7 linked regions of the Tribolium castaneum genome follow. The protein of the gene in region 5 purifies or fractionates together with the protein of the main gene of each other region. This does not show direct contact. Links are inferred from orthologs where the notes say so. Each region holds a gene or a part of one and is shown on either strand. Other genes may lie near its edges. The genes, in order: uncharacterized protein LOC661495, putative RNA-binding protein Luc7-like 2, AMPdeam, NKAP family protein CG6066, RnpS1, pea and su(w[a]).

What was found.
Region 1: the proteins of RnpS1 (region 5) and uncharacterized protein LOC661495 purify together in Homo sapiens (affinity purification with mass spectrometry; 4 studies listed by BioGRID and IntAct, counting the BioPlex papers as one, with this or other methods). This does not show direct contact. The link is inferred for Tribolium castaneum from reciprocal best matches to the Homo sapiens genes RNPS1 and SNIP1.
Region 2: the proteins of RnpS1 (region 5) and putative RNA-binding protein Luc7-like 2 purify together in Homo sapiens (affinity purification with mass spectrometry; 4 studies listed by BioGRID and IntAct, counting the BioPlex papers as one, with this or other methods). This does not show direct contact. The link is inferred for Tribolium castaneum from reciprocal best matches to the Homo sapiens genes RNPS1 and LUC7L2.
Region 3: the proteins of RnpS1 (region 5) and AMPdeam purify together in Homo sapiens (co-immunoprecipitation; 3 studies listed by BioGRID and IntAct, with this or other methods). This does not show direct contact. The link is inferred for Tribolium castaneum from reciprocal best matches to the Homo sapiens genes RNPS1 and AMPD2.
Region 4: the proteins of RnpS1 (region 5) and NKAP family protein CG6066 purify together in Homo sapiens (co-immunoprecipitation; 3 studies listed by BioGRID and IntAct, counting the BioPlex papers as one, with this or other methods). This does not show direct contact. The link is inferred for Tribolium castaneum from reciprocal best matches to the Homo sapiens genes RNPS1 and NKAP.
Region 6: the proteins of RnpS1 (region 5) and pea purify together in Homo sapiens (co-immunoprecipitation; 3 studies listed by BioGRID and IntAct, with this or other methods). This does not show direct contact. The link is inferred for Tribolium castaneum from reciprocal best matches to the Homo sapiens genes RNPS1 and DHX8.
Region 7: the proteins of RnpS1 (region 5) and su(w[a]) purify together in Homo sapiens (co-immunoprecipitation; 3 studies listed by BioGRID and IntAct, with this or other methods). This does not show direct contact. The link is inferred for Tribolium castaneum from reciprocal best matches to the Homo sapiens genes RNPS1 and SFSWAP.

What each region holds. Positions count from the first base shown.
Region 1 is NC_087397.1:1,785,505-1,788,941, reverse strand, and holds uncharacterized protein LOC661495, read left to right. Parts: upstream 1-1,364; 5' UTR 1,365-1,558; coding exon 1,559-1,827; intron 1,828-1,874; coding exon 1,875-2,518; intron 2,519-2,567; coding exon 2,568-2,800; 3' UTR 2,801-2,864; downstream 2,865-3,437. Other genes in the region: beta-PheRS (phenylalanine--tRNA ligase beta subunit), read right to left, coding at 219-398, 451-790, 839-999, 1,055-1,110, 1,163-1,220; MED4 (mediator of RNA polymerase II transcription subunit 4), read left to right, coding at 3,022-3,089, 3,140-3,437. UniProt on the Homo sapiens protein: Required for pre-mRNA splicing as component of the spliceosome. As a component of the minor spliceosome, involved in the splicing of U12-type introns in pre-mRNAs. Down-regulates NF-kappa-B signaling by competing with RELA for CREBBP/EP300 binding.
Region 2 is NC_087399.1:9,864,622-9,869,231, reverse strand, and holds part of putative RNA-binding protein Luc7-like 2, read right to left. Parts: intron 3,142-4,610; coding exon 2,710-3,141; intron 281-2,709; coding exon 1-280. UniProt on the Homo sapiens protein: May bind to RNA via its Arg/Ser-rich domain.
Region 3 is NC_087396.1:12,808,824-12,813,374, reverse strand, and holds the start of AMPdeam (AMP deaminase 2), read left to right. Parts: upstream 1-1,659; 5' UTR 1,660-1,955; coding exon 1,956-2,064; intron 2,065-3,250; exon of another isoform or gene 3,251-3,364; coding exon of another isoform or gene 3,365-3,425; intron 3,426-3,515; exon of another isoform or gene 3,516-3,683; coding exon of another isoform or gene 3,684-3,792; intron 3,793-4,551. Other genes in the region: uncharacterized protein LOC103313680, read left to right, coding at 1-1,188. UniProt on the Homo sapiens protein: AMP deaminase plays a critical role in energy metabolism. Catalyzes the deamination of AMP to IMP and plays an important role in the purine nucleotide cycle.
Region 4 is NC_087400.1:4,954,133-4,957,260, reverse strand, and holds NKAP family protein CG6066, read left to right. Parts: upstream 1-1,570; 5' UTR 1,571-1,662; coding exon 1,663-2,562; 3' UTR 2,563-2,615; downstream 2,616-3,128. Other genes in the region: waprin-Rha1, read left to right, coding at 1,052-1,277, 1,325-1,467. UniProt on the Homo sapiens protein: Acts as a transcriptional repressor. Plays a role as a transcriptional corepressor of the Notch-mediated signaling required for T-cell development. Also involved in the TNF and IL-1 induced NF-kappa-B activation.
Region 5 is NC_087399.1:5,873,260-5,876,932, forward strand, and holds RnpS1 (RNA-binding protein with serine-rich domain 1), read left to right. Parts: upstream 1-1,680; 5' UTR 1,681-1,837; coding exon 1,838-1,839; intron 1,840-2,069; coding exon 2,070-2,183; intron 2,184-2,233; coding exon 2,234-3,053; 3' UTR 3,054-3,131; downstream 3,132-3,673. Other genes in the region: fl(2)d (pre-mRNA-splicing regulator female-lethal(2)D), read left to right, coding at 582-1,235; ankyrin-3, read left to right, coding at 3,274-3,324, 3,371-3,498, 3,549-3,673. UniProt on the Homo sapiens protein: Part of pre- and post-splicing multiprotein mRNP complexes. Auxiliary component of the splicing-dependent multiprotein exon junction complex (EJC) deposited at splice junction on mRNAs.
Region 6 is NC_087395.1:23,613,573-23,618,089, reverse strand, and holds the start of pea (ATP-dependent RNA helicase DHX8), read left to right. Parts: upstream 1-1,696; 5' UTR 1,697-1,779; coding exon 1,780-1,873; intron 1,874-1,927; coding exon 1,928-2,520; intron 2,521-2,690; coding exon 2,691-3,859; intron 3,860-4,000; coding exon 4,001-4,517.
Region 7 is NC_087401.1:16,305,332-16,309,584, forward strand, and holds the start of su(w[a]) (splicing factor, suppressor of white-apricot homolog), read right to left. Parts: upstream 3,026-4,253; 5' UTR 2,957-3,025; coding exon 2,742-2,956; intron 2,695-2,741; coding exon 2,358-2,694; intron 230-2,357; coding exon 16-229; intron 1-15. Other genes in the region: vanin-like protein 1, read right to left, coding at 3,220-3,842, 3,895-4,155.

The sequences.
Region 1 (3,437 bases), on a different chromosome or scaffold from region 5:
ACCTTCTTGAAGGTAAGCAAGTGTATTACTCAGAAAATTTTAGCAAAAAAAATGAAAATTTTAAATCTCATGAAAAGTTGGTATAACACAGAAAATGAGCCGCTGAATTCAATGGAACAAACCGCATTGCTCTACGACTTTTAGTTTTCGAGTTATGAATTTTTTTAATGAATAAAATTTTCCACTATGGCATGTTTCAATTGAAACGTTCAACTCACTTTAGTCAAATCAGTTGCCGTACATTCAATCAAAACATTTTTGGTGTTGAGTGTAATTTTGGAGTGATCCCCATTAATAATCGGCGGAAGGGATAAAATAACCCCATTACTGTCCAAAACGAGTGGATATACAGGGCTGTCTTTGATGATGTGCAAGTATTGTTTTAGCTGCGCGTGCGCCTGAAATATCACGTGACTGTTGGGAATCCCCCAAACTCGGTCAAAATCTTACTGAATAGAGCTCCATAACGCCGTTGCCGTCACACTCTTTGGTTTGATTAAGTGGTACAAACTTAAACTCAGAAGGTGGTTTAGCGTCATAGGTGAAGGGCCCCTGAACTGTATCTAAATCGTGCGTCCCGATTGAGACAAGCGTGCGTTTGCGGCAAATATTCTGATGCAACTTATCTTGCAAATCAATGAAACTGTTGTAAGAATCTTGAGTGAAGTATAAATTACGCAAAACGGCGCCTACGATATAAGGCCTGATTTTCGCCGTTTCGGGTGTGACGTGAATTTTTTGAATACTGTCTGATGACGGTTTGATACGTTTGTAAACCGGCGGCTGAATTCTACAAAAACATTACAGTGCCAAAGTCAAGGCAAAACTAATGACTCACTTCCCCTGAAATATTTTAATTCCTAATGAAATGCCTTCAAGACACAATAAATCGTATCTGTTTGCAGGAATGTCAATTCGATAAATGACTTCCTCGGAGGCTCCCGCCGCCTGGGCTGAATCCTCCCCTTGTTCCTTACTTATCATCTGTTTTTCAGTTGTCTTGAAATTTAGGGCATTATTGCATCATTTTATCGCTTGAAAGATTAATACTTACGACTTCGTCCAGTTCAAGACCGAACTCGAAGCATAAACGCTGGAATTCATCGTCGGCTGGAAATTGCAAATTGGGGCAATAAGGGGGCACAGTGATCAAACAACTTACTGAAAGTGCGCCCAAGGGCTTCGAATAGCAAATTGCGCTTGACACCCACAGTCGGCATTGTATTTTTTATTTACTATCACGTTTTTGTCTAAAAATGAACACGTTTAAAGTGTTTCACAACTGAAAAAACGATGACATGTGCGGGACCTGTCAATGTCAAAAGTTGAGGTTGGGTCAATTGTCAGCATCAGCGATCAGTTTTCGAGAAAAAACGCCAGTTTTTAAGATTATTTAACAATTAGTCTTCGTCAGAACTATAATCGGAACATAATAATGCAAATTTAATTAATTTTTTCCCACAATATTTTTTTTCGCCGGTTGTATTGGCACACCTGTCAATTGCGAGACGTAGCGTTTCTTATAACCTTAAAGTTACTTCGCCCAAACAAACAAAAAATGGGCTCAAAGAAGAAGAAGCGCGTTTCCAGCAGCTCCAGTTCATCAGATTCAAGCAGCGAAAGCTCCGATTCATCACCCGAACGGCGCCCGAAACGTAAAAGCAAGAAAACCGAATCGAAACCTGAGACTGAAGAATCGCCGAAGAAAACCAAAACGAAGGCAAACTCGCATAAAAAACACGAAACTCCGCCTGTGGCAAGTGACGAGGCGAATAAACAGGCAAAAAAGAGGGACAAAAAGCCAACAAATGAGGAAGAAACCGACAGGTATGATTGTTGGTGGTTTTAAGGGAAAATACTAGTTGTGTTTAAAGGAAACGCAAGCGGAGTCCTGTGCCTGAAAATCGGGACAGGCGGGAGAGGGACGATAAGAGGGTCCGGGACGATCGGGGGCGGCATGACGACAGGAGAAACCGCCCCAATGACCACCGTTCTCACGATAACAGGTTCAGAAACCGGCGTCCTGATTACAGAGACAGGGAACGGGATTACAGGAACCGACGGGACGATAACAAAAATTACCACAACCGGGAGCGAAACAGAGAGAACCATCCAAGGCGGCGTAGCAGAAGCGCCTCCTTTGACCACTCGAACGCCCGTTGGGGCCGCGAGTCGGACGACAAAAAATCCGACAAGAAGGAAAAAGACCAGAAGGAAAAGCAAAAACCGAATTTCGGTCTTTCGGGAAAACTTACCGAAGAAACTAACACTTATCGTGGCGTTGTTATAAAATATAGCGAGCCGCCTGAGGCTTGCAAGCCGAAACGTCGGTGGCGGTTGTACCCTTTTAAGGGCGAAAAGGCCCTTCAGACTTTATACATACATCGCGAAAGCGCCTACTTGATTGGGCGCGATCGCAAAGTTGTTGATCTCCCTGTAGATCACCCTTCGTGCTCAAAACAACACGCAGCTTTGCAGTATCGCCTAGTCCCTTTCACGCGTGAGGATGGCACCACTGGTTTGTGGGACAGCTGGTAGTGTGTTGGGTTTTTCATTGTTTTTTTCAGGGAAGAGAATAAGGCCGTATTTGATTGATTTGAACTCGGCTAATGGGACTTTTATCAATAATAAGAAGATAGAGCCGAGTAAATATGTGGAGTTGTTGGAGAAAGACGTGATCAAGTTTGGGTTCAGCTCAAGGGAGTACGTTTTATTGCATGAGAATAGTAAAGATGAGACACAGGATGACGATGTGAAGCAGGAAGAGCCGGCGGTTCAAGTCAAGAGTGAAGAGAATTGAATTTTGTGTATATATTTTAATTTAGCTTAGGTTTCTTTCAATAAAGTAATTTTTTCGATTAAAATTCCCGCTCTTACGATTTAGTTATTCTCTGGGCAGATGGCATCGCAGTGTGCGCGTTATTTTGACATTTGTGTATTTGAGGTTGTGTTCGAAATAAAAACTGTTCAATTGATTATTTCGTTTAATATTTAAACCCGTGAGTGTTTTTCCCCATCATTATGTCGTCTCAAATGAGCACGAAGGAAAAACTCCTTTACATCCTCGACGATATTGAGTTAATCTCCAAGTACGTCCCCCTTTCGGGTCATTTCGTATGGTTTTATTTGCGTTTTTTAGAGAAATAATCGAGAATTCAATCGCCCCCAAGCACCTCAAGCTTTCCGGCCCTGAATACGCTCAACTGACCGAGCTTTTGGTGGCCAAAAACACCGAACTGACTGAAACCCTTAAACTGGCCGCTGAACAGGCGCAAATCGACAAAAAAATGGACATCTTGAAGGCCGAAGTGGAGCGTCAGGACAACGACATTAACAACTTGCAAAAACAGCTCAAAGAGGCCGAGCAAATCCTGGCCACTGCGATTTATCAAGCCAACCAGAAACTCCAGTCCATTTCCCGCGCAAATAAACGGCCG
Region 2 (4,610 bases), about 4.0 Mb from region 5:
TTCTCTTATCGCTGGAACTTGAGTGGCGCGAGTGTGAGCGCCGTTCCCGACTCCTGGATCTGGAGCGATGCGATCGAGACCTGTTATCCCGATCCCTGTCATTCTTTTCCCTTTCTTTGCGGTCCCAGGATCTGGAACGGTGTCTTTTGGAGCGTCTGTCCAGTTCGCGCCCCCCGACATACTGCTCGCGGTGTCTCTCCCTGTATCTATCTTCCCGATCGTCCCGGTCTCTGTCACGGGAGGACTTGCGCTTTTCCTCCTTCCGTTTCTCGGCGTTTTTCTACAATATATAAAAGTATAAAATATTTTGAAATTACTTAAAACTCCTTAAAGTGGTTGATATTGACTACGTTAAAGATGGCATTAAAATATTTATTTTTAATTCGTTGCGACGTTTCTAGTCTCCAAATGGTTAATTTTAATCTAATGTGAAGAAAGAATAATGAAAAAATGTCGATTTATTATTGAGTTTGGAGTGAATTTACTTTCTAAATTTAATTTATACTTAAAGCAGGTCAATTAATACTGAAAAATTTAAATTTTTTTTGAGTTTTGGCCAATTAGATGAGCTTTATGCACGATTTATTTAGTTAAGAAACTCAAAAACGTGTTTAGAAGCTTGAGAAAAAAAAAACCTTTTTCTGGTCGACATTTTGACATTTTTCAGCCTATCTTGACGAAATTTCGCTTAAAAACAAAAGAAATTGCCTGAAACAGGCAAAATATTTTAATCTTATTATGATCACTTTATGTGATTTATTGTGATTTCTGGGAGCATTTAATAGAATAAATAAGTTTCAGGTTCAAGACTTGAAAATGACTGAAATAAAATAAGATTAACATTAATTCGATCAAATTTGATGTTTTTACAGCCACTTATGCCCATTTTTTTTTAAATAAAGCACTAAAGTGTAAAAAGCCAAAAGTTGGTGATTTTTTGGTTTTCTTTAGCGACATCTCTAAACCTAATATTTTTAACTCAAAAACGGAACATGATTTCAGACCGAATGTTACGGTTTTTCGGCTTATTTTGAAGTAATTTTGCTCCAAAATGAGCTAAATCGAGAGACACTAACATCAATTTCCATTTATTTTGTAATTTTTTGTTGTGTTTTAACGAGTTCTTTTGTAAAGTCGATCTAAAAAAGACAATTAACATCAATTTCGATCTAATTAGATATTTTTTTCCCCAATTTTACCTAAAATTTTCGAAAAGAACTTTTTTTGCTTCAACAAAACTCGAAGAAAACTAAAATAACACCCACTTTAGTATAACTGGGAAACTTTTCGATTTGTTCTTAGTTTCTATTCTAAATAAGAATATCCTGCTAAATAATGCTAAAAAAAGACAAAAACAAGATAATTTTGAATTTAAATTCATCGAAATCTTCAGAAAAAATGATACCTTAGCTCTAAAAAGTGCTTGAATTCTTGGGAAACGCAGAAATAGCAGTACTATTTAACTAAAATTTATTGTTCTTGAACAATAGATAGATCTCTCGACGAAAGCTGGTAAAAATAACCTAATAATCAAAATTTTTCTTAAAAAAACACCGTTTTTATCTCAAAAACCTGTTTAAAAATTCGAAAACCTCGAATTAACAATGGGGTCTAACTTGTTGAAATTTTGTTTGCTGTTTTATTTGAAAATGTTAAGAAATAATTCCTTAAAACTATATCAAAACATATGGAAAAGGAAAATGAATGTTATTTGACTAAAAATGATTTTTCAATCGATTTCTTGCAAGAAACTGAAGATATATCTTGCAAACACGTGTTTCCAAAAATACACAAATAACATATTTTTGACCACAAAAAATTTCATACAAAACAGAGCTTAATCCAGTTAACATAGCTTAAGAATGATCTTGCAAAATAAAGTCCAAATGCATTAAATCGAGAGAAATAATCTAAATAAATTAATTGTTTTGGTGATTTTACGGCTAACTTTAACGAAGTTTTGCAATTTCTGTCTGGAGAATGTGCTAAAACACTCAAAAAACAAGAATTGTGTAGTGCTATACTTAATTTGGTGCTTTTTCGGTCTCCTCTAGTGAAATCGTGCAAAAAACTAAGTTTAACAACCTTCTGACCAAAGTTTGTTTGAAAATGTTTCTAAAATTATTGACGTGTTCAAAATCAAACAAAATAAACGAAATTTAATCAATTCGACCTAATTTTGTAATTTTCCAGTTACGGGGCTTGAGAGGGGAGGGGAGGATAACATAATTTTTACTAATAACTTTTTTCTTCTTTTATTTTTGATGTAATCTCGCACAAAAATAAACCAGAGCGATTCAAATACCACCAATTTAGAATATATTTTTATTAATTTTAGACGTTCTCTGACCTAACCTTGTAAAATAAATGAGTATCTGATTCAAAAATGCATTAAATCCAGTGGAACATCAACTTCAATCTAATTTGGTGAATGAAATATGCAAACTAATTTATTTTTTGCGGGGAATTTAAAAATTGCATGTATATATTTATATTATATATAAATATTATGTATTTATCGAAGAGGCCGTGAAAAATTGTTTCATTTGTCATGTTTTTTAATCAACCATCTCCAACCAAAAATCGTCAATCATTTCAAAGGATAAATAACGAAATGTCTCTGATGATTTTTGAATATGACAGGGTTTGGTTGCGTCATTTTCAATTTAGGTGACTGTACAAGCTGTACATAAAACACAATATCCTTACCTCAAGTTCGGCCAACTTTTCCCGAATCTTAATAAACCCAAGATGTAATTTCCCGCCGAAATGATCAGCGAGACGTCGATCGTTATCATGTATGCCGAGATAAGCGGAACAAACTTCGCAAACTCGTAATTTCTGTTGTTGGTAGCTGCTTGCCGGCATTGAATTGCGATACTCTTGCTCGGCTTCCAATTTACGCTTTCTCAATTCGTCCACTTCCTCCATGAGTTTCATGCTTTCGTCGACAAAACCCTCTTCGCCGAGTTGCTCGGCTTTGGCGAGCTTTTGACCGATTTGTTCCGCCAATTCGTGCACGCTGTTCGCTTTAACGGCCACTTCAGCCGATAGTTCTTCTTGGGTTTCGGCGAGGCGTTGCTTGGCGGCCTCGGTGCGACGGTCGCAATCGGTGATAAAAGCTTGCAGATGTTCCATTGCCTTCAGGAATTTTTTATCACTGGTTTTATATTTTATTGGGTATTGGGTGATATTCATAAAAATTTGTAATTATCAGTTTTTTTAATACTTATAAACATACTTACAAATATTAGTATTTAATAGTTAAAAGTATCACTTCAACCTAAAAGTGAACACTTGAATCCAAATGTCAAAAGGAGATGCTTATCCTTATGACGACCATACAAAGTGAGACTACTAATGAAGTACTATATTTTTACTATACGTATCTCAGAAATAAATAATTGCACAGAATTTAGGTTGACTATTAAATAATTTTTTATTTAATTTAATTTTAATTCAGCGATTCCAGGAATAATGCAACCTGACACCGTAATTTTCAAAATAAATTTAATAATGCAAAGTTTCTTTCAAAATATACGATTCAGTTTGTATTTGATGTATTTTACAACAAAAAAGTTTTTTTGTTGTTGTGGATTTAAAACATGAGACGATAATTATTTAAAGTGAATTCCAACATTTACATACATTGCCTTGTAGGCAATAATATAAAATACTGTTGACAGCTGACGTACTATAATTGGTAAATAATTTCTGAAGTGTTTTTTAGTTTCTGGTAGTGTCCCATCCATCATGTATAAACAAAAAGTAAATTAATCGTAAATCAATGCACACTGCATTATTCCTCGGTTTCGAGAATAATTGTAGGAATTAGTGCATTTTAAATTAACATAATATTTAACAATAAAATGTAAAGTCTTCTTTATGTCCTATTCGCTATCAATTTGTGTTTTTCGTGTTCGTATTTAAAATTTTACAACTGTAGGGTGCAAATAGTTGGACTGGTACTAAGTTCCTTTTCTACTGATAATATTTATAAAAACCGTTAAAATGAATCACAAAGATGGGTAGAAAATTTCGTAGATTCAAAAGTTTTGCAATATTTCATTTTTTGGATGTTGAATTAAATATCAAAAATAAAATAACTACTTAGAAAGATGGTACTAGAAGTTTAAGAATGATCATTTTTACTCGAGAATAAGATTTCAACAATTTTTTTTTCTTTTAAAGCAATTTTAAACAATACAAAAATATTCTGAAAAAAATGCATGAATGATGGATGTATCAATTAAAACCAAAAATGATTACTAGTACAGTGTATCTCCTCCTCTGGCATCAATAAAAATTTAAAATCGCCACCGCATACCATTAACAAGGACAGATATTCGTGCTTGGGCAGAATTTTTTTTTGAGTTCTTAGGACTCTGTAAAGCATATTACAAGCATAGCAATGGTGGTAAAAAAACGCTTGTTAATCAAACATGAACACATGCTAATATTCGTAAACACCAAGTTTAGGGCTTCTTTTACCCAAAAATGCCAAGAGAATGGTAAAAATTTTATTAAGTCTTAGCACCATGGAAGGGACAAACAGAACAGAAAGATGAAGTTACTTATGTTTTATGGTACAACCGATACAAAAAAATAAT
Region 3 (4,551 bases), on a different chromosome or scaffold from region 5:
CCAATTCTTCCAACGCAACAATATGATGATCAAGCCCAGTTTGTACAACAGTTTAATAAAACTGAGCAACCTGTTCAAGAACAACATTTTGAAAGTGAGCAGCCAATCCCGTCACAACAGTTTGACGATCAAGGCCAATACGATGAAAATGGACAACTGATTCAAGAACAACAATATGATGGTGAACCACAAATACCAACGCAACAATATGATGATCAAGGTCAATTTGTGCAACAATATGACAATAGTGACCAGCCGTACGATCAGAGTGAACAACAGTATGATGAAAACGGACAACCTGTGCAACAGATTACTGAACAAGGTCAATTTGTGCAACAGTACGACGAAAGTGGACAACATATTCAACAGTACGATGAACAATACGGACAACAGTACGATCAACACGGCCAGTACCTACAACAATATGACGAAACCGGACAACCTATTCAACAATATGATGAAAGTGGACAACTTATTCAACAGTATGACGAAACTGGACAGCCTATTCAACAGTATGATGAAAGTGGGCAACCTCTTCAACAATACGACGAAAGTGGACAACCTATTCAACAGTATGACGGAACTGGGCAGTCTATTCAACAGTATGATGAACAACCTGTTCAACAATACGACGAAAGTGGACAACCTATTCAACAGTACGACGAAAATGGACAACCTATTCAACAGTATGACGAAACTGGACAGTCTATTCAACAGTATGATGAAAATGAACAACCTATTCAACAATACGACGAAAATGGACAACCTATTCAACAGTACGACGAAACTGGACAGGCTATTCAACAGTATGGTGAAAATGGACAACCTATTCAACAGTATGACGAAACTGGACAATATGGGCAACATTATGACGAAAACGGACAACCGACTCAACAGTTTGATGAAAATGGACAACCTATTCAACAATATGACGAAAATGCGCAATACTATGGCGATCAAAGTAATGTGCAATATGATGAAAACGGTCAAATGATTCAGCATTATGACCAACCGTATGATGGAGTGGTTGAGCAACAGAATGAAGTCAAAGGGGACGATCAGAGTGTTCCTGCACCGTCAGAACCAAAGAAAAGTAACATTTTGGAACTGTTAGATACTGACACTGAAAGTATGAAGCAGGAGTCGAAAGTTTCACACGATAGTGATTTTGATTTCAGTAATGAATAAGTTTGGTAGTTTAGCCATAGAAATGTAATGAATGACACACTTGATTTAGGTCTGTGATTCAGTTTTTTTAATACAACACTAATAAAAATAATCGGTGTTTTATTTCCTAATTCCTAAACTTGCTCCTGTGTAGCTCAGCCATTAAACTGAAGGTCATGCAGTTTCAGAGCGAATATGTTGCATTTTTTCATGTTTATATTCGCTCATTTGGCATGATTATTAAATTGACGCGTTGCATCTGCCTGATTAATAAACCTGGCTAAATATAAATCGCGCAATTGCATTTCCTGTTATCACAAGCAGTGATAAATATATGCAGGTATAGATCAAACCAGCATCTTCCATCCTAATTAAGTGTGTCATTGAGTAACAATGCGCACAATTACCACAAAGCCCACCCGAATAATTAATTTCAATAAGCCGTATTTATTTATACTTAGTGGGTTTTATTTTTAGTACTTGAACGAGATAAGTACAGTTCGGTACCCACCTACGTTTTCGCAACACATGTGCTTAAAAAATATTTAATCGTTCCAGCTTTATGAGTTATCTTTTCCGACGTATCGAAAGCACACACACATATCGTGAAAATCTTCCGCTGCGCGTTTGCTGGAGGCGTCCTTATGCGGTGCCAAAATCAATATTTCCTCCACGAACTCTGTGTCGATGCAAACACGTACGGTGTGTGCTCTTTTTGATACGTCTGACGTGTTTTTTACATTGGTAAAAGCAGTGCTAAAAGACTCAGTGGGGTTCCAGTGCAAATTATGGCCGATTTGTACACCAATAATTTGAGCAAGCCCAAGTGTTCTATGACTTTTTATTCGGATTTTGGAGATGGGGAGACTGAGACTGACATTCTTCAACAAAGACAAGGTGGGTATAATTAGCTTTAGGCTGGTTTAGGTTATGTTACTGAGTCATTGATGGGCTTAAGCCACTTGCGATTTTCATTAATCAAACCACACTGTATTCTGTGAGGGAGAAAATCAAAATTACATCAATATTTTTTTATTAAATCAATAAGTTTTGCCCAAGATTAATGAGTATTTTATATGTAACCATTCATTCATAAATCATAATTAATTACCTACCTATTCCACGGAACAGAATGAATAAATTTTTCGCATATTTAATTTTTTAAATAATTATAATTGAATAGAAATAATTAAATCGCGTTTTGACGCCTTTTGGATAAATTAGATCAACTTGTGCAATAAACAAAAATATTAAAATGAACTCAATAATTTGTCACAAATTTCTCAATTTTTGAAAATTCATTTTTCGGAGAAACTTAAATATTTAAAAATAAAGAGCTGATTAAATGAAACTCCATTAATTGTTTACATTTAACATCGACCTTAAAAAATGCTAATGTAAATTTGTAGTGGCTGCTTTCTTTGATGACCTCGTTTTACTTTCAATGTGCCAAGAATTTGATATTCCGAAAAAATAGTTCAAAAAAATTGTGGTTGCTCTTAATAACTTTCTAAGCCTTTAATCGAACAAGGAAAGATAAAATTATTATTACATATTTGTTCAGAACCGATAGAGCAGATAAGAAAAGATCGTCAAAAAAATAAATTAAGGTGAATGAAATTTAATTTTAGAACAATCTAAAGAATTTTATATTGATAAGTTCTATAAGTGTGAATGTCTAAACTGGATTAAGATTTATTTGTTTTATTTTAGAATTTAATTATAATAGTAAGATTGTTAAAATCTGGGGATAAAATTCAAAGGTGGGTATATTTTGCAACATTTTCATATCCAGTTGTTTATAATTATTATCATTTTATCTTTATTTGTAGTTTACTTAAAATATTGTTGTACAAAGTGTTAAAATACTTCTTGTTAACAACTGTTGACTTATTTTATTTCGAAACAACGAATGCATTATTCGAATATATTTACCTAATGTTTAGTAGCAAATAGTGGTTTGGGTTTGCCATTGGTTTGTTGTTTTAAATAAAAAATGCGAGGTATAATTATGAACCGGATGCCGGAACTTCGTATCAGGTCTCTGGTGATTGCTAATTTAATAATTAATAACAAAGTCAAACTTGACAAATTTCAAGCTGTCACAATATCGAATTATTTTTTAAGTCCAAAAGGCAAAAGCTGAGTGTTTGATCTGGAAATGTAATACATTTTTTCCGCCAAAATCGGGGTTTTAATGAGTACAAGAGGCTTCCCTTCTCCAGATCCCGATAGCACTAGCTCAAACTCCATTTCAGGTAGGAATAAACCTTATCGTATTATTTAAATACACCGAGTGTGCTAATGAAGCCATTATCACAACCTTGAGCGAAATTTATTGTGCTAAAAAGTTTCGTACGAAGTCAAATTGTTACCTAGTGCTCTTCCTGAAGTTTATTTTCGTCGTAAGAATTTATTGTTGGAAAATTGTATTCGTATTTTTGGGTTGTACATGTGCCAGGCTGTTCGTGGTTTAGTTTTTATCGAATGGTTCGCTTGTAAAGGCGCACACGAAAATGTGTTCTCGGGGTGTGAATTACCGAAATTCGGTGGATCTGCCGGTGGTTAATGCACCGGCGTTTTTACGGGTTAACTCGTTCGTGGATGAGGATAAACCAGCATCAGGTAATTCCCCAATAAATTCAGGGGCAAGCTGAGCAATTTACTTTCGGCGTAATTGATATTCAGATTAGATAGAGAGCAATATGCATGAGGGAAAATCTCCAAGTATTATGTCAATACACGTACTGTAATAAACCCTCGCGTGCTGTTTTTTATTTAGTGGGGATGTTATGATTATGTAATTGAGCTAATTTGATAGATAGCTGCATGGAGCAGAACTTGGTCGTCGATTTTCCAACGCATGGAAATCAAAGATTGCAAGCTTTATTCAGTTTGAAATAACGGTCCAAATATTTTTGTTAATTTCTGGCTGAAAAATATCAATAATTTGCATTGTGTTCTTTTAATCAAATCAGAAAAATCTGATGCATAATTTTTGATAAATACAAAATGATTGGAATGTTATTATTTACTGAAATACTGATATACTTGTACTAAGATTGAGAACATTATACCTCAGCCTACAATTACTAAACAAACTACAACGCAACTTCTGAGATCAAGGATTCAAGGACCTTCATTTATGTCTAAAACAACGTTGACTTGTAGCCAAACTTTTTCAAAACATTAAATATATTAAACGCAAATGTTTCGCCGAAAATACCTCTCTTCGCCTATTTATAATTTAGACGTATCACTGTTTACTATGAGTCATAATTTCTCCCCAGTTCTCTATTAAAAATAAATTTTTCTTCGTCTAGAATGGAAATTTAGCAAGTCATTAGGACTTCGAGACCGGTTCACACTATTTTCGGTTTTACT
Region 4 (3,128 bases), on a different chromosome or scaffold from region 5:
GTTTAATAGTACGAGAAACGGGGCTTTAAACGCACAATTATAGTAACTGTTGTCTTTGATTTTTGATTAGCTGTTTGCAATACTAGTTTCCTTCCAAAAGTTCGAGGTTGAGTTGCTTTCTGAGTCAAGGAACGATTAAAGTGGATCAAAGAATAAAAAACAATTTTAAGAAATGGCGTTAAAAAGAAAAAGAAAAAAATATGCATTTAAATTTTTTTTATCTAAATAATATAGTAATAAAAACAATTTTTTTCGGTCGTTTTATAATTTATAATCATACCTTGCATTTTTTATACAGCGTTGGCGGAAGTATAGAACCAAGCGTTTTCAAAAATTGTTTTTTTCGAAATTTTTGTTTGTTATTGATTACGTGTATAATACACGTATTAATAAATTTTTTGAAAAATTCAAATAAGAAAAAATTTACCAATCGACCATTTTATTATATTGAGTAAGATAAAAAAATAACTAAATCAAATATAAATATAAATATAAATAAATATAAGAGATTTTTTAAATGTTTCTTTTTAAATAAAAATTGACCTGTCTCAAAAATTTTATTTTTTTTGTTTTTTTTTACTAAGATATTTAAGGTGGCTTGTTTTTAAACTAAATGTGAATTTTGTTGTTATACTTTTGGTTCAATCTGTTTACAGTCTTAAACGTGAAACTGTATAACGATTGAAATAGTGTGACTTCTCTGATAAAACTTTACTCACAGCAGACGCTTTTCTGACTGAAAACGCGATGAAACGCTCAAAAAACTAAAATTTTTGACCTAATTTTGTTTAGCAGCAGGAATTGAAGAAAAAAACAGTAGTAAATTAATACAAGTATAATAAAAATGGGTAATTTTTAATACATTTTTTCTATTTTTGTAGATTTCAACCAATTACTAAATTGCGCAAACCGCAGTGGAACCCCACATCCGCCCTAAATCCGCACACTTAATCAAAATTTCAATTTGTCGTTTTGTGGTTTCCGTTTCTTCGACTCTTGCACCTACACAACATCCAATTCCATTCATCTTAAAGCCCTACAAGTGTTAACAATGCAGGCAAAACTTTTCTTAATCCTTTCCCTTCTAACTGTTTTTGTGTACGGCCAAAGGCCTCGAACAAAATCGGGAGACTGCCCCCCGTACCCCAACGTGGGGATCTGTGAAGTGGCCTGTTTCGAAGACAACCACTGTGCCGGCCATTTCAAATGCTGCCGGACGGCTTGTGGCGGCACTTTTTGTACGGCCCCTGTAACAACGAGGCGAATTCAAAGAGGAGGTGAAATGGATACAATTTTTTTTAAAGAAAATTAATTTGTGTTTTAGAGAAACAAGGGTCTTGTCCAGTTGCACCGTCAGGCCCTTGGGTGTGCTCCAGCAGGTGTGCCCTAGACTCGGACTGCAGGGGGGCTAAAAAGTGCTGCAGGAATCGGTGCGGGGCCATGGCTTGCACCAAACCCGAATTTTAATCAGTTACAATTGTAGTATCGTTGTATGAATAAAAATTAGCAAATCGACGCATTTTGTGTTTTATTTATTTCCTTAAAATTTGAAATGGTTTGAGCAAATGTCAATTCTAGCTTATGGGAATGACGTAAAGTGACTTCAGTTTGACAGTTTTTTTTAAAGGTTATGTTATTGTAAAAAAATTGATTTTTTACGAAATGATGGATGTGGCAAAACACAGACGCAGTCGGTCCCGTTCCCCGGACCACCGGAGACACAAAACTGATAGATCGTTTAAAAATGATCGTAATAGGAGACACAGGTCCAGGTCTCATTCCAGGTCAAGAGACCGCCATTCCAGCAGACGCAGGTCTAGATCCAGAGGCACCACAACAAACGGTTTTGAACGAAACGACAAATATGAAGTCACAAAGAAAAAACACCTTGAGGACGAGTTCATGGAGTCCCGACGCCAGGAGCGTGAGATCCTCGGAATGAGGGATTACCCCAGCATTTGGGGCCAATCCCCCGAACCCGAAGACTCCGACAGTGACGTCGAAGACGTCACCAAGAACGCCCCCAAGCTAAAAAAACGGAAGAAGGAAAAGAAAAAATCCCACAAGAAGCATAAAAAGAAGAAGAAAAAGAAGAAGTCTTCAAGTGAGAGCAGTTCAGGGGAGGAAGAGTGGGTCGAGAAGACCACAACCACCAACAAACCCCAAACCAATGCGGAAGAGACCGAAGAGGTGATCGTCGGCCCCATTTTGAAGCCCCATGCCGCCCTGACTCACAAGGAAATGGGCAAGGCTTTGCTCCCTGGTGAGGGGGCTGCCATGGCTGCGTACGTCGCCGAAGGAAAACGGATACCAAGAAGAGGTGAAATTGGACTCACGTCTGAAGAAATTGAAAGTTTTGAAGCCGTGGGTTATGTCATGTCCGGCTCAAGACACAGGAGAATGGAGGCTGTGAGGATACGGAAAGAAAACCAGATTTATTCAGCTGATGAGAAGCGGGCTTTGGCCATGTTCAGCAAAGAAGAACGGCAGAAGAGGGAGAACAGGATTTTGGGACAGTTCAGGGAAATGGTCAACTCCAAACTGGCCGAAAAGAAAAATTAATTTCGTAGAATTGAGTGTTTATTACGTATAAATAAAGTTTTTTTATTACTTAATTTGTTTTACATTGTTGTACCCAACCGGTCCATCCCCCAGGGAAATGTTTGGCGCTGAAAATTGAACTTAAATTTCGGGTCAAAGTGGCCTATGATTTCGAATTAAGTTGGCAACATCTAGTTGCCAACTAAATTTAAAAATCACAGGCGACTTTAATTAAAGACGGAACAAAACGAATGTTTTACTTTACGTATCCCAGATTTTTGGCTAAATCTAGCGCAGCTCGGCTCCGCCGCCCCGACTGACAACTGAAAACTAAAGGCGTGGTGTTTGTAGGCTTTTCTCTTCGGAAAACTTGACGAAATTGTTCATCACTTGTGTTCTGCAGCGTTTCTTCTAAAGTGGCCACTTGAAATGAAGTACTTTGCAGTTAATTCATAAGTTAATTAGGGTATTTACAAGGTATATTGATGCTTCCAGGAATTGTTCCAGTTTGCGCTAATTCCGACGGGTTCCTCACATCAATTAGAAGAACCTGTCTGTTGTCTTTTAGGCTTCTAACGTAGTCAAAA
Region 5 (3,673 bases):
AATATTTGTCTCGAAGTTTTTTGTGTTCTAATTGACATTACAACCTCGCAAAATGGATTTTTTCTTCATGTTTAGCAAACATAGGTAAGTTATGTTTGTGTAGTTTTTTACTGTTCAGAAATGTTACTCATTAGGTGCTAATTAAATTTTTAATGTTCTGATATGAGCGTTACATTGCCAATCCGTAAATAACTTTCAGCAGCTGTGATGTAATTTATTGTAAATATGTATTGAATTAGCTTATTGTCATTCTAAATTTACCGCTTTGTAGATTAAATCAGATTATATGAAATTTTTATCTAATTTTTTAATAAGCACAAACCTGAACTAATCTACGAAGCGAATTTTGTCATGAATCATTTTTCAATTTTTCATAAAATTGTGCGTTTGTACTAGTTTTAATAAAATCACCAGAAACGTTATGTTGAATAAAATGGTTAACATTACTTGTATATTTTATTAACGAAATGTCGGGGACGTAGACACCTTGTTATTGTAAGACCGCTGTGTAAACCCACTCCGAAAAATGGGCGCCCTTGCGATATTTTTTGTGTCAATATTAAAGAGTATTTTTGCTGCAGTGCCAATTGAACGAGCTGAAAAGTGCCCAAGCCCCCTCGGCCCTCCGTTCAACCCTGCTCGATCCTGCCGTGAACTGCATCCTTCAGCAGCTAAAAACCGAGCTCCAATCGACCCGTTCCGAGCTTGAGGACACCAAGAACGAGCTAACGGCGTGGAAATTCACCCCCGACTCGAACACGGGCAAACGCCTGATGGCGAAATGCCGCCTCCTGTACCAGGAGAACGAGGAACTCGGCAAAATCACGAGCTCGGGCCGCATCGCGAAGCTCGAGAGCGACCTGGCGCTGCAGAAGAGCTTCTCCGAGGAGGTCAGACAGAGCCAGAACGAGCTGGACGCGTTCCTGGCCGACCTGGACGAGGACGTCGAGGGCATGCAGAGCACGATCCTGTTCCTCCAGACGGAGCTGCGCAAGACGAAAGAGAGCGCCCAAGTGCTGCAGAAGGAGAACAGTACGCTCAAGCTGGCCAATGGGCGGTCGAACGGTGACAGTGTGTGTGAACAGGAACGGACGGACTCGGACTCCGAGGCGGAGAGGACTACTTGTGTGAAACGCGTGCGAAGGTCGTCCGTCCTCAGTATCGACTATAACGAGGACGACGCCCTCGTCATCAGCACGAACGGTGACGTCGCGATGGCCTCCGACCCAGAATAGTGAGCTGAGATTAACCCAACTATTACGCATATAAACTGACGAACAGTATATTCAATTGTACATAGAAATATACTAGCCTAATGTGGTTGTTTCGAATTGTGACTTCAATCATTACTAAATTGTGTTGATCACTGCGGTGCAGTTGCAGAATTTTTTCTATTAGTTTTGGCAACAATGCAATATTTTATTACTTTCCCCCATTCAAGGTGTTATCAAGGTGCGCTTTTTTATCCATTGTTCGCATTTTATTCATTCGACCGACTCTGTTTTAAATTTGTCAGATTGTATCATTTTTTAACGTTTTTATGTTGAAAGTTGTATTTATAAAATAAAACAAAAATTATATCACTTATTATTGACCACGGTGTTTTACTTGTAGCTGCGGGGGTGCAAAATTCAATCTCCCACCGTTGGTGTAGCAGTTACAAACTTAAAGTCACCAGAACAGCGCTACCAACATCAAGTGGTCGTAGTAGCGTCGTTTTGCTAATTTTCCACAATTACACAGTTTTTCATGTAGTTTTCATACTTCCGCGTTAATACAGTGAAAGGTTTTAGTTCTAAACTTGTCCCGACTTTACAGGAATCAAGAATAGTCAGAAATGTGAGTATTTACGTTTTGAGGTTATGTTTGTAGTCCGGGAGGGCTTTCCACGATTTCCTTGTAGTTTTAGCACATTTTAACTCCCATGCATCACTTGTGTTTGCTCGATTTGCTTCCTTCAAGGTTCTTCAAGATCAAGATAATTTGTATTACAACAACTGACTTGTTTGTTCACTCCCGGACACCATTACTTTTTACAAATTTTTTGAGTTGGTTTTTATTGTTCTTAGGGCAAAAATAGGTTCTGATACGGAAAAGGACGACAAGGATAAGAAGAAAGAACGTGGTAGGGACCGTAAACGGAAGAGTGAGTCTGGTTCAAGCAGCAGCGATAGCAGCAGAAGGTAACACCCGAGTTTGAAGAGTTTGTAATCACCTAAAACACTTGATTTAGTTCTTCCGACAGTAGCTCGTCCAGCTCGCGCTCTTCGAGCAGTTCCAGTTCGGGCAGCAGTTCCCGCTCGAGCAGTTCCTCCTCGGAGTCCTCAAGCTCAAGCAGCGATAAAGACCGCAGTCGCCCCAAACGCCGTTCGCGCTCCACCAGCAAACCCACCCGACGCAGCAAAGAGCGCAAAGACAAAGACAAGGAAAAGGAGAAGGAAAAAGATGTCAAAAAGGACGATAAAGACGAGGTCAAAGACAAAGACGTCAACAATCGCAAATCCCCAGCGAAAGACGACAAAAACCACACCCGTGGCAAGTCTCGTTCGCGCTCGCGCTCAGACCGGCGCAAAAGGCGTCGCAGGTCCCCCACGCCACGCCCCACGAAAATCCACATTGGGCGTTTAACACGCACCATCAACAGGGAGCACATTATGGAGATTTTCGGGACGTATGGACCAATCAAACATGTGGATTTCCCCAAAGACCACATCCACCCACACTTGGGGCGGGGCTTCTGCTACGTGGAGTTCACCAATGCGGACGATGCCGAAAACGCGATGAAACACATGGATGGGGGGCAAATTGATGGACAGGAGATCACGGCGGCTCCGGTGCTTGTACCCAAGCCGAGACCGCCCCCCATGAGGCGCAGCCCCATGCCGATGCATATGAGGAGGCCTCCGCCCCACAGACGCACCCCGCCCAGATTCCGGAGGCGGAGCCCCATGCGACCGATGAGGAGGAGCCCGCCGAGGAGGCGCCCCCATTCCAGGAGCCCCCCGCCCAGGCGCAGGAAGCACAGCCGCTCCAGTTCGAGCAGTTCCAGATGATTTTTTCGATTTTAATTTTTTAAGGTATTGTAATGCGTGAAAAGGAATAAAACCGGAATTAAGGTATTGATAATCAAAGATTGATAAATGATAAAATTATTATTTTGTCATATTGGTATTACCACGTATTGCCTATCACATAACCTAGCTTTCTTCAAATAATTGTTACAAATGAAATTGATGGAAAATTGATGAAGATGACTCGTAAATCGTTTAAGTGATGTCTGTCTCACATAATTGTGATGAAAACCGCCGAAATCTCTTATCTGAAGTAATAATTTATTTTGACATAACCTCAAATTTAGCCTTTGCTCCAGGTTGAATCAGCAATATCTAACAATGACCTTGCCACCCTCAAGCAGCTTTTACCGCACCCTTTTGACCAAACCACCCTTCAGGACGAAAACGGCAACAACCCTCTGCACTTATCCATAATTTACGAAAAGTATGATCCCCCCTAACGTTCAGTAAATCCCTACCAAGTCCTGGTTTCAGGAACGCAATTTTTGACTACTTGCTTGATAAATTCGACTTGGAGGCGCAAAACCACTCCGGACACACAGCCCTATCCCTGTCCCTGCTCTACCACAGCGACATTTTCATAATCGAGTACTTTGCCC
Region 6 (4,517 bases), on a different chromosome or scaffold from region 5:
CATGTCAAAGTAGATAATGATTAATGGCTGTTAAAATATACCTTGAATTATATAAATATGTAACCATTTAACAATTGAGGACTAAACCGCAAAAAAGACGTACAAAATTAAGGAAATCAGAGGAAATCTTGGGAAAACCATGGATCTTAAGATATCAAAAAAAAACAAAGAAAATCATTATTAAATCAGAAGAAAATCTGGTGTACAGAAATTTGGGGTGCAGTTTATGTACTCCTCGTAAAAAAGCACAAAAGTACCTGTATCCAAAAAATGAAGAAACAATTAAAGCCGCAACCAAAAACTATTCAAGTCAAGTGATGGATAAAGTTGTCGAAAATTTCAATTTTCAAGTGGGGCAACATGAAATTCAACCTGTTTGTGTTAAAAATTACGGGTTATTAGGTTTTGAAATAGCCAGTCCGGCCCTGTGCGCTTAGTCTTATCCCCATCTGGCCGCCCTGGAACAACCAGCCATTGTTGGGAATTGGGCCGAATCCAACCCCACCCTAATAATAAATTTGTAACATTTCGAAATTGCATCGCATCCTCAAAACTGAAAATTGCATCGAATGTAACAATAACAAGTCACACAATGCAATTCAATTGCAAAATAGACGCCAAAGTTATATTTCCGTTGTTATTACAATGAGATTTTTCTTTGGGGATGAATCGTCAGCTGGCGAACTACTTAACGCCCTTTCGACACCTCAATCTTCCCCTGACTTGATATCGGACACCCCCTTGGTATAATGGACTGTTGTCTTATCACTCCTTATCACAATAGTACTTGACTATACCCCGATTGCAGCCTATTTCGGACTATTGTTGGCTCGAGGATATGAGCTGACATCCGCACACTCTCATAATACTCCGCGGAAATACTACTCTAAAGCAAATTTAAACGATAAGCGAGAGCGCTGTTTGCCCCTTTTAGGGCAATTAGCCCAACAAAGGCCCACGAAATACCGCGCAAAATATTTACGCATTTGCGCGATCGGTCTCAACTAACGGGGGCCGAAAGTGGTTATTGCATCTCTAGGAAAAAATACATTTCCATCGACTTTTCCCTTGATTTAAGCAGATTCTAGCGTCTCTTGAGAGACTATTTCGGCTTTCTCGGCGCGGTCTAAAAGGGATTATTATTTTTTACGCTCTTTGTGACCCTTTTTAAAACGGAATGTGGGTCGTTACGTCCCTTGAGAAAAAAAATTGCAAGAGAAATAACACCAATAACTGAAAAAACGCCAGTAAACAGATTTTCCTAAGCATTTTAATTTTTATAAAGGTTATTTAGAAAAAAATTTTAGAATAATATAAGTGCTCAAAATTTGGAGTTTCCAAATTTTTTTAAAAATTCAAAAACACTAAAAAAAGATCTAAAGCTTCTCTTCCAAATAAGTCAAAAATTAATTCAAAACATTAAAAAAACGGCAGAGTTATCTATGTATGATAAATGAAACCAAATTCTTCTGAATAAAGTTTTGTGTTAGACAACCAAATAAACACACAATTTAATTTTTTTTTACAAACCATTTTTTTTATTTTTGTACATTTTATTCTAACAATACAACGTGATTAAAACGTATTGTTATAAAAATAAGGCATTTACTACAATTTATGAAAATAATTATTAACAATTATGTGATAGTGTTATGTAACCAACATTACATCACTGACTTGCGCATGCGCCAGTAATGCCAGAATTGTCAGAAATTTTTTGACAATTGACAATTTAGACAACAAAACGTTTTTGTGGTTTTTACCCTAAAATTAACAAAAATGAACGAAGTTGAAAAACTAGAATATTTATCCCTCGTATCTAAAGTATGCACCGAATTGGAAAACCATCTCGGGATGAACGACAAGGATTTAGGTTAGTTAACCCCAACTCTTGATTCCGCCCCAACTAACCCTCATTTCTCCCCAGCCGAGTTCATAATCCACCTCTCCGAAAAGCACGACACTGTCGACAGCTTCAAGAAAGTCCTTGTCGAGAATGGTGCTGAATTTTCCGACTCTTTCGTCTCAAATTTGCTCCGTATTATCCAACACATGCGCCCCAAAAAATCAAGTCAGGCGAGTAAAGTGAACTCGAGTCATGAACAGGATTCACTAGCTGCGAAATTCCCGGGTTTGGCGTTACCGAACGAGGTGCAAAAACCCCTCACACCAGTGGTGGAGACCAAGGGGGAAGATGAGGATATTGTGGCTGATTTGATGGCTCAGTTGGAGGCTGATGCCCCCTCACAGGCGAAAAATGATAAGGAGAAGAGGGAAAGAAGTCGGAGTCCTGAGAGGAAGCGGCGCAGGAGGGAAAAGTCCAGGTCCAGGTCGAGAGATAGGAGGAGGAGGTCGAGGGAGAGGTCTGGGAGGAGGCGCAGGAGCCGGAGCAGGTCGCGGAGGAGGAGGAGCAGGAGTGCGTCCCCGAGGAGGAGGGACAGGAGTGCCTCCCCAAGGAGGAGGGACAGGAAAATCAAGCGGGAGAGTCCGGAATTGGACGAAGATCCAATCCCTGGAAAAGTAGGTTTTTCTTATTTATAAAAATCTGAATTAAATAGAAAAAACAAGACAAATACTACAAAAACAAAAAACTTAAAATTATGATTCAGTTGAATCACATTTTTGCCGAATGAAATTTTCATCTTTTCATTTAATTTTCATAACAGTGCTAATTCTTAATTATTTGGCAGATTTACACAGGAAAAGTGGCAAACATTGTCCCTTTCGGTTGCTTTGTCCAGTTGGAGGGTTTACGGCGCCGTTGGGAAGGTCTAGTGCATATTTCGCAATTAAGGGCTGAAGGTCGCGTCACAAACGTCTCTGAGGTCGTTTCACGTGGAATGAAAGTCAAAATAAAAGTACTATCAGTAACCGGACAAAAAGTCTCCTTATCAATGAAAGACGTTGATCAAATAACCGGAAAAGACCTCAATCCCCTTTCACACGCCCCTGCAGAACGTGAAGATAAAGACCGGAACCCGGATCGTCCAATGAACACCGGAACTTCCGTTTTGCGCCTTCCTGTCGGCATCGACGAAAACGAGGAAAACTCCCGCAAACGTGTCACCCGGATTTCGAGTCCGGAACGCTGGGAAATCAAACAAATGATTTCGTCCGGGTGTATCGATAAGAGTGAGTTGCCGGATTTCGACGACGAAACCGGACTTTTGCCCAAGGATGAAGACGGAGAGGCTGATATTGAGATTGAGTTGGTTGAGGACGAGCCTCCTTTCCTCCAAGGTCACGGGAGGGCGCTCCACGACTTGAGTCCCGTCCGTATTGTGAAAAACCCAGACGGTTCGTTGGCTCAAGCCGCAATGATGCAATCAGCTTTGGCGAAAGAACGTCGTGAGCAAAAAATGTTGCAACGAGAACAGGAAATTGATTCGCAACCGTCTGGGAAAAATAAAAACTGGATTGATCCACTGCCCGAGGATGAGAGTAAAATGAATTCGGCACGTGGGATTGGTTTACAATCGCAGGATTTACCCGAATGGAAGAAACACGTAATAGGGGGGAAGAAATCTTCGTTTGGGAAAAAAACCAATTTGAGTATTTTGGAGCAGAGGCAGAGTCTGCCCATCTATAAGTTGAAGGAAGAGTTGAGGAAAGCTGTGACCGATAATCAGATTTTGATAGTGATTGGGGAGACAGGGTCTGGGAAAACGACTCAAATCACGCAGTATTTGGCGGAGAGTGGGTTCACAGCCAGGGGGAAAATTGGGTGTACGCAGCCTAGGAGGGTGGCTGCCATGTCGGTGGCCAAGAGGGTGGCCGAGGAGTTTGGGTGTAGGTTGGGCCAGGAGGTGGGCTATACGATTCGGTTTGAGGATTGCACAAGTCCAGAAACGATCATCAAGTGAGTATAACAAAACAATATATTTGGTTTCAAAAGTGGGTTTAAAAATAAAATAAAAAATTACCACATCGAAACATATTTAAAAAATAATCAAATATTATCACAATTTAAAGACATTTGAAAGGAAACTATTCTTTGCAGATACATGACGGACGGCATGTTGCTTCGTGAGTGCCTCATGGACCTCGACCTCAAGGCCTACTCGGTCATAATGTTGGACGAAGCCCACGAACGCACCATTCACACCGACGTCCTCTTTGGCCTCCTCAAACAGGCCGTTACGAAACGTCCCGAACTCAAACTAATCGTGACATCGGCAACCCTCGACGCCGTTAAATTCTCACAATATTTTTTCGAAGCCCCAATTTTTACAATTCCAGGCCGGACATTTCCCGTCGAAGTCCTCTACACGAAAGAACCCGAAACGGATTATCTGGACGCAAGTCTAATCACCGTTATGCAAATCCATTTACGGGAACCCCCCGGCGATATACTTTTGTTTCTAACCGGACAGGAAGAAATCGACACGGCTTGCGAAATTTTATACGAACGTATGAAATCATTAGGACCGGATGTCCCCGAATTGATTATACTTCCGGTGTATTCGGCGCTTCCGTCCGAGATGCAAACCCGGATTTTTGAACCGGCGCCCCCCGGA
Region 7 (4,253 bases), on a different chromosome or scaffold from region 5:
AAACCCCACACTGACCTTTTTTTGTGGTTGAAGTAACTTGATACCGGCCACTTTTGATAGCCGCCAACACGTGCCGGTAATACTTGTACAAGTTGTGTCCCTGGTTCAGAAAACCAAATTGTGGATTATCAGCTTGTTTGGCCTTGATTAGGATTTCCATTTGGGGCCCTTGTTTACATACGAAAAGCGCCGTTTTCTCGATCCGAATATTTTCTTTGACGGTTTTTGGCTAAATAAACAAAAAAAAATGTAGAAAAATTTAACCTCTCTGACACTAAATTGCAAACTTGACCTAGTTTCAAAATAAATTTAATTCAAATTAAGTTGCCACTTATTTTGTCTAGTTAACTAAATGAAAATGTTGCGTATTTTTAAATGTAATGAAAAATTTAATTTAATTTAATAAAATTGTGCATTAAAAAACAAATCATTATTAACTTAATACTTTTTTTTTACTTTATTTTTTTCAAAATAAAATTGATTAATATAATTTTTTAAACTATTATGGGTTAATTATAATTTTGAAACGTTGGTGAATAAACATAAACATAAAAAAATAGCCTTTTCAAGCGCTTTTGAGTTGCATACCTAATTTTTTTTTGCAAAATATTATTAATTTTGATTAAAAAAATCACTAAATTGAGTCAAAAATAGCATTATTCTGTTCGTTTTCCAGCATTTATTACCACGTAATTATTTCGCAAAATTACGTCAAAAAACCTTTGCTTATTTCAAGCATTTGAGCACGTTTTTCAACCAAACATTTAATTAGTATTTTACAAAATTTCATCAAAAAAAGTCACAAAATAAAGCTGAAATGTTGTTAGTTATGCTTATTTTATGCCCGATTTTCAAGTAGATATGCAATTACTTTTCAAAATTTCGTCGAAAAATCTGTAAATTATATGAAAATGGTACAGATTTCGAATTTTTCTGAAGATTTAAGCACGTGTTCGAGCTAAAAAGTCAGTTTCTGCTGAAAATTTTTATCAAACGAAGTCAAAAAATCACTAAATTTGAACAAAAATAGAATATTGGAAGCAATAATTTTGGGAGATTTCATCAAAGATAAGCTCAAAAATTATTAATTTAAGCCAAATTTGCGTATTTCTGGCATTTAAACACGTTTTCCGACCAAATTCGCATTTAATTTGCAAAATTTCGCCAAAAAATCAGTAAAATAATGCCAAAATAGAGCCAGTTTTTTGCAAATCTTTGATAAACTAGACCAAAAAATCACTAAAGTTGGCCGAAAATAAACCAACGGAAACAATTATTCGCAGAATTCCATAAAAACTAAGCCAAAAAAAGGCATTCTTGGACGTTTTCCAGCCAGACATGCAATTATCTTTCAAAATTTTATCAAAAATAAGCCAAAAATTTGCAAAATTATGTCAAAATGGCGTAATTATTGACTTTTCTAAATGAATTCATCAGAATTTGAGCAAAAATTGTCGTCAAAACATTAATAAAAGACATAACAATAGAATAATTTTTGACTTTTTCAAAAGTTTGGCAGGTTTTTGAGCTTAAAAATGTTTTTTTTTTGTAAATATTTGCCAAACCTAGCAAAACCACTAAATGTGCCCAAAGATAAAAGCAATATTTCACTAGATTTTATCAAAAATGATCGAAAAAGTCACAAAATAAAGCTAATTTTGTTACTTTTTTGTGTATTTAAGCCTGTTTTTCAAATAGATATGCAATTATTGGACAAATATCAGCCGAAAAATCTGTAAATTATGTGAAAATGGTACAGATTTTGAATTTTTAAGAACGTGTTTAAGTTAAAAAGTCAGTTACTACTGAAAATTTTTGGCAAACGAAGTCACAAAACCACTAAATTTCAGCGGAAATAAAGTAATGGGAGCAATTACTTCGCGAAATTTCATCAAAGATAAGCATTTAGTCAAGTTTTTCCACCAAATATACGCATCTATTTTGCAAAATTAAAAATAAGTTACAATAATAAATAAGATAAATAGTAAATAAATTAAATAAGACCAAATTGACCAAAGACAAATTATTATAAATGTAATATTGTCTCTAATAAACTGTCGTCCAAAATTAAATTAGGTAACATAATTCTTGTACAAAATTCTTAGGCTGTCTATTTTAAACTTTTATGTAAAACAATACTATTTTAAATGATTTATAAAAATTAATAAAAATTGACAACGAAACAAATTAGATTTGTCGAATTATTATGTGTAAATTATAATTTTCAAACATTGATGAATAAAGATAAACATAAAAAATTGCTGAATAAAGTGGCTCCTAAGAGAATTTATCTTGAAACTACGTCTAGTTGGCTGGTTTATCGAGGCGTCATTTTCACGTTGTTCGCCTGTACTCACTATTGCAATATCAACTGGCACGTCCAAATGCGGTGACGGGACGTACTCCTCGTCCTCCTCCTCGGGCTCTGCCACCGTGGGGGCGCTCTCTGGCGCCGGGTTCGCCGGGACGTCATAACTGTACTGAAACTCATTCGCTTTCTGTCTCTTCTGCTCCTCCTCCTTGTACATTTGCTCCTCTTCTTCATTGATATGTAACGAATAGTACCGTTCCTTATCACACAACTGCTCAAGTTTCCTCTCAGAGTCACTCAAACCCAACCACCGCATGGCGTCAAAACCCTCCCGACTCGCCTCAAACGGTGATATGTCCGACAGGGCGCCCCGACAGTCATATCTACGCAAAACCAAATCAATTCAAAGTAAACCAAAAGTAAAACTAACCTATCAATTTTGAGACTGTCGTCTCCCATCCACGGGATAAGATGGTGGCCTTTATCGATGTAGGAGGCCTTTTCGTCATCGCGGAACAATTTACACGCATAACCGAACACTAAAAGATCGTCGTGGTTCTCTTTCGGCTTGTTTTTGCGCAAAATACCCGACTCTGAAGTTGTGCCCCACTGCGCCATTTTGATTTTTTGTACGGTTGGCAACATTTTTTACAAACAATGCCGGTTGCCCCGGCAACCAACAATACGCAAAACCAAATAATGGACAATTTTACGAATATTTGGCTAATTACACGTTACCAGAGCCCATTAGTTAACGAAACGTAAATTAATTATTTCCATTCGGCGCCTTTTACTCAAAAACAGCGTTAAGTGCACCGGTACCGTGTGATCCAAAATGGATGTGTCAGTTGGCAGTTCTGAATTTTATTAAAAGTGGTAGCACTGTGCGACTAAAAGGGTGAGCAACTTTACTTTATTTCATACAAGACAAACAATGACGTGCACAATAAAACCCAAAGTGCGGATAAGTGGCCACTTGAGTTGTTATCATCACGTGGCGTGGAGTCTTGTTCAAAGTTGCGTCCAAAAATAGCGAAAGTTAGCAACCTATTCTGAGGCTTAGTTATGGAAAACTTGCGCTCTATCAAATCTTTTCCGTCTCGTGTGACTTGTGACCCACTCCAGGCCGTTTCAGTTGTGTCTATCGGTCGTATGGAGCTTTTAAGTGAGTTGGGAAATTGCGTATGATTTTCGCTCTTCTCAAAATTTGCGGAAATTGTGATTTTTTCAAACGTTACGGGCCACTGGACTTTATCATAATTCGGGAATCTTTGGGCACACGAAGTTAGGGAATTATTCAAACAGGCGATAATCCCGCAAATTTCAATCCCACCATTGGCAACGCCTGAATATGACCGAATCCCCGAAAACGCCACTAGGCGATAAGTGTAAAAGTTTAAGTCGGGTTTAATTGCATCTAAAGTTGTCTCGACTGTAAAATTGCAACAAAACTGTTCCTTGTCCTCATTCTCGTAGCAAAGCTCAGTCTTTGTGGATTTAACAGACGTGTTCAAAACCACAGTTTTGTAATCTAGGATTCGTAATTAATTATTAAAAAAAATAATAATACAAGAAAAAATCACCTTGAACACTGTCATCAACTTTCAAGTGAAAACCGTCCATTTTTTTCGCCAATTCGTCCACATCTTCACTCGCTTGTTTTTTGTCATCACCTTGATAAATAAAAGCTTGGGTTCCACCCTCTGCCACAACGCCCCCAACTGTTAGACCTTTGACACCGCGATAAACACCACTTCCGCCACTTCCGGCGGAGCGACTGTTAGCCCCCGCAGCAAAAAGTGTGATATTGTGGCCGTAAGACCACATTTGTTGCGCCTGCATTGCTACCAAAAATTTCAACCGGTTAGGTTGGCAATAGAAGCGATTATTTCGCGAAATTAGGGGAAAATTTTTGAGTTGCATACCCAATTTTTTTTTCAAA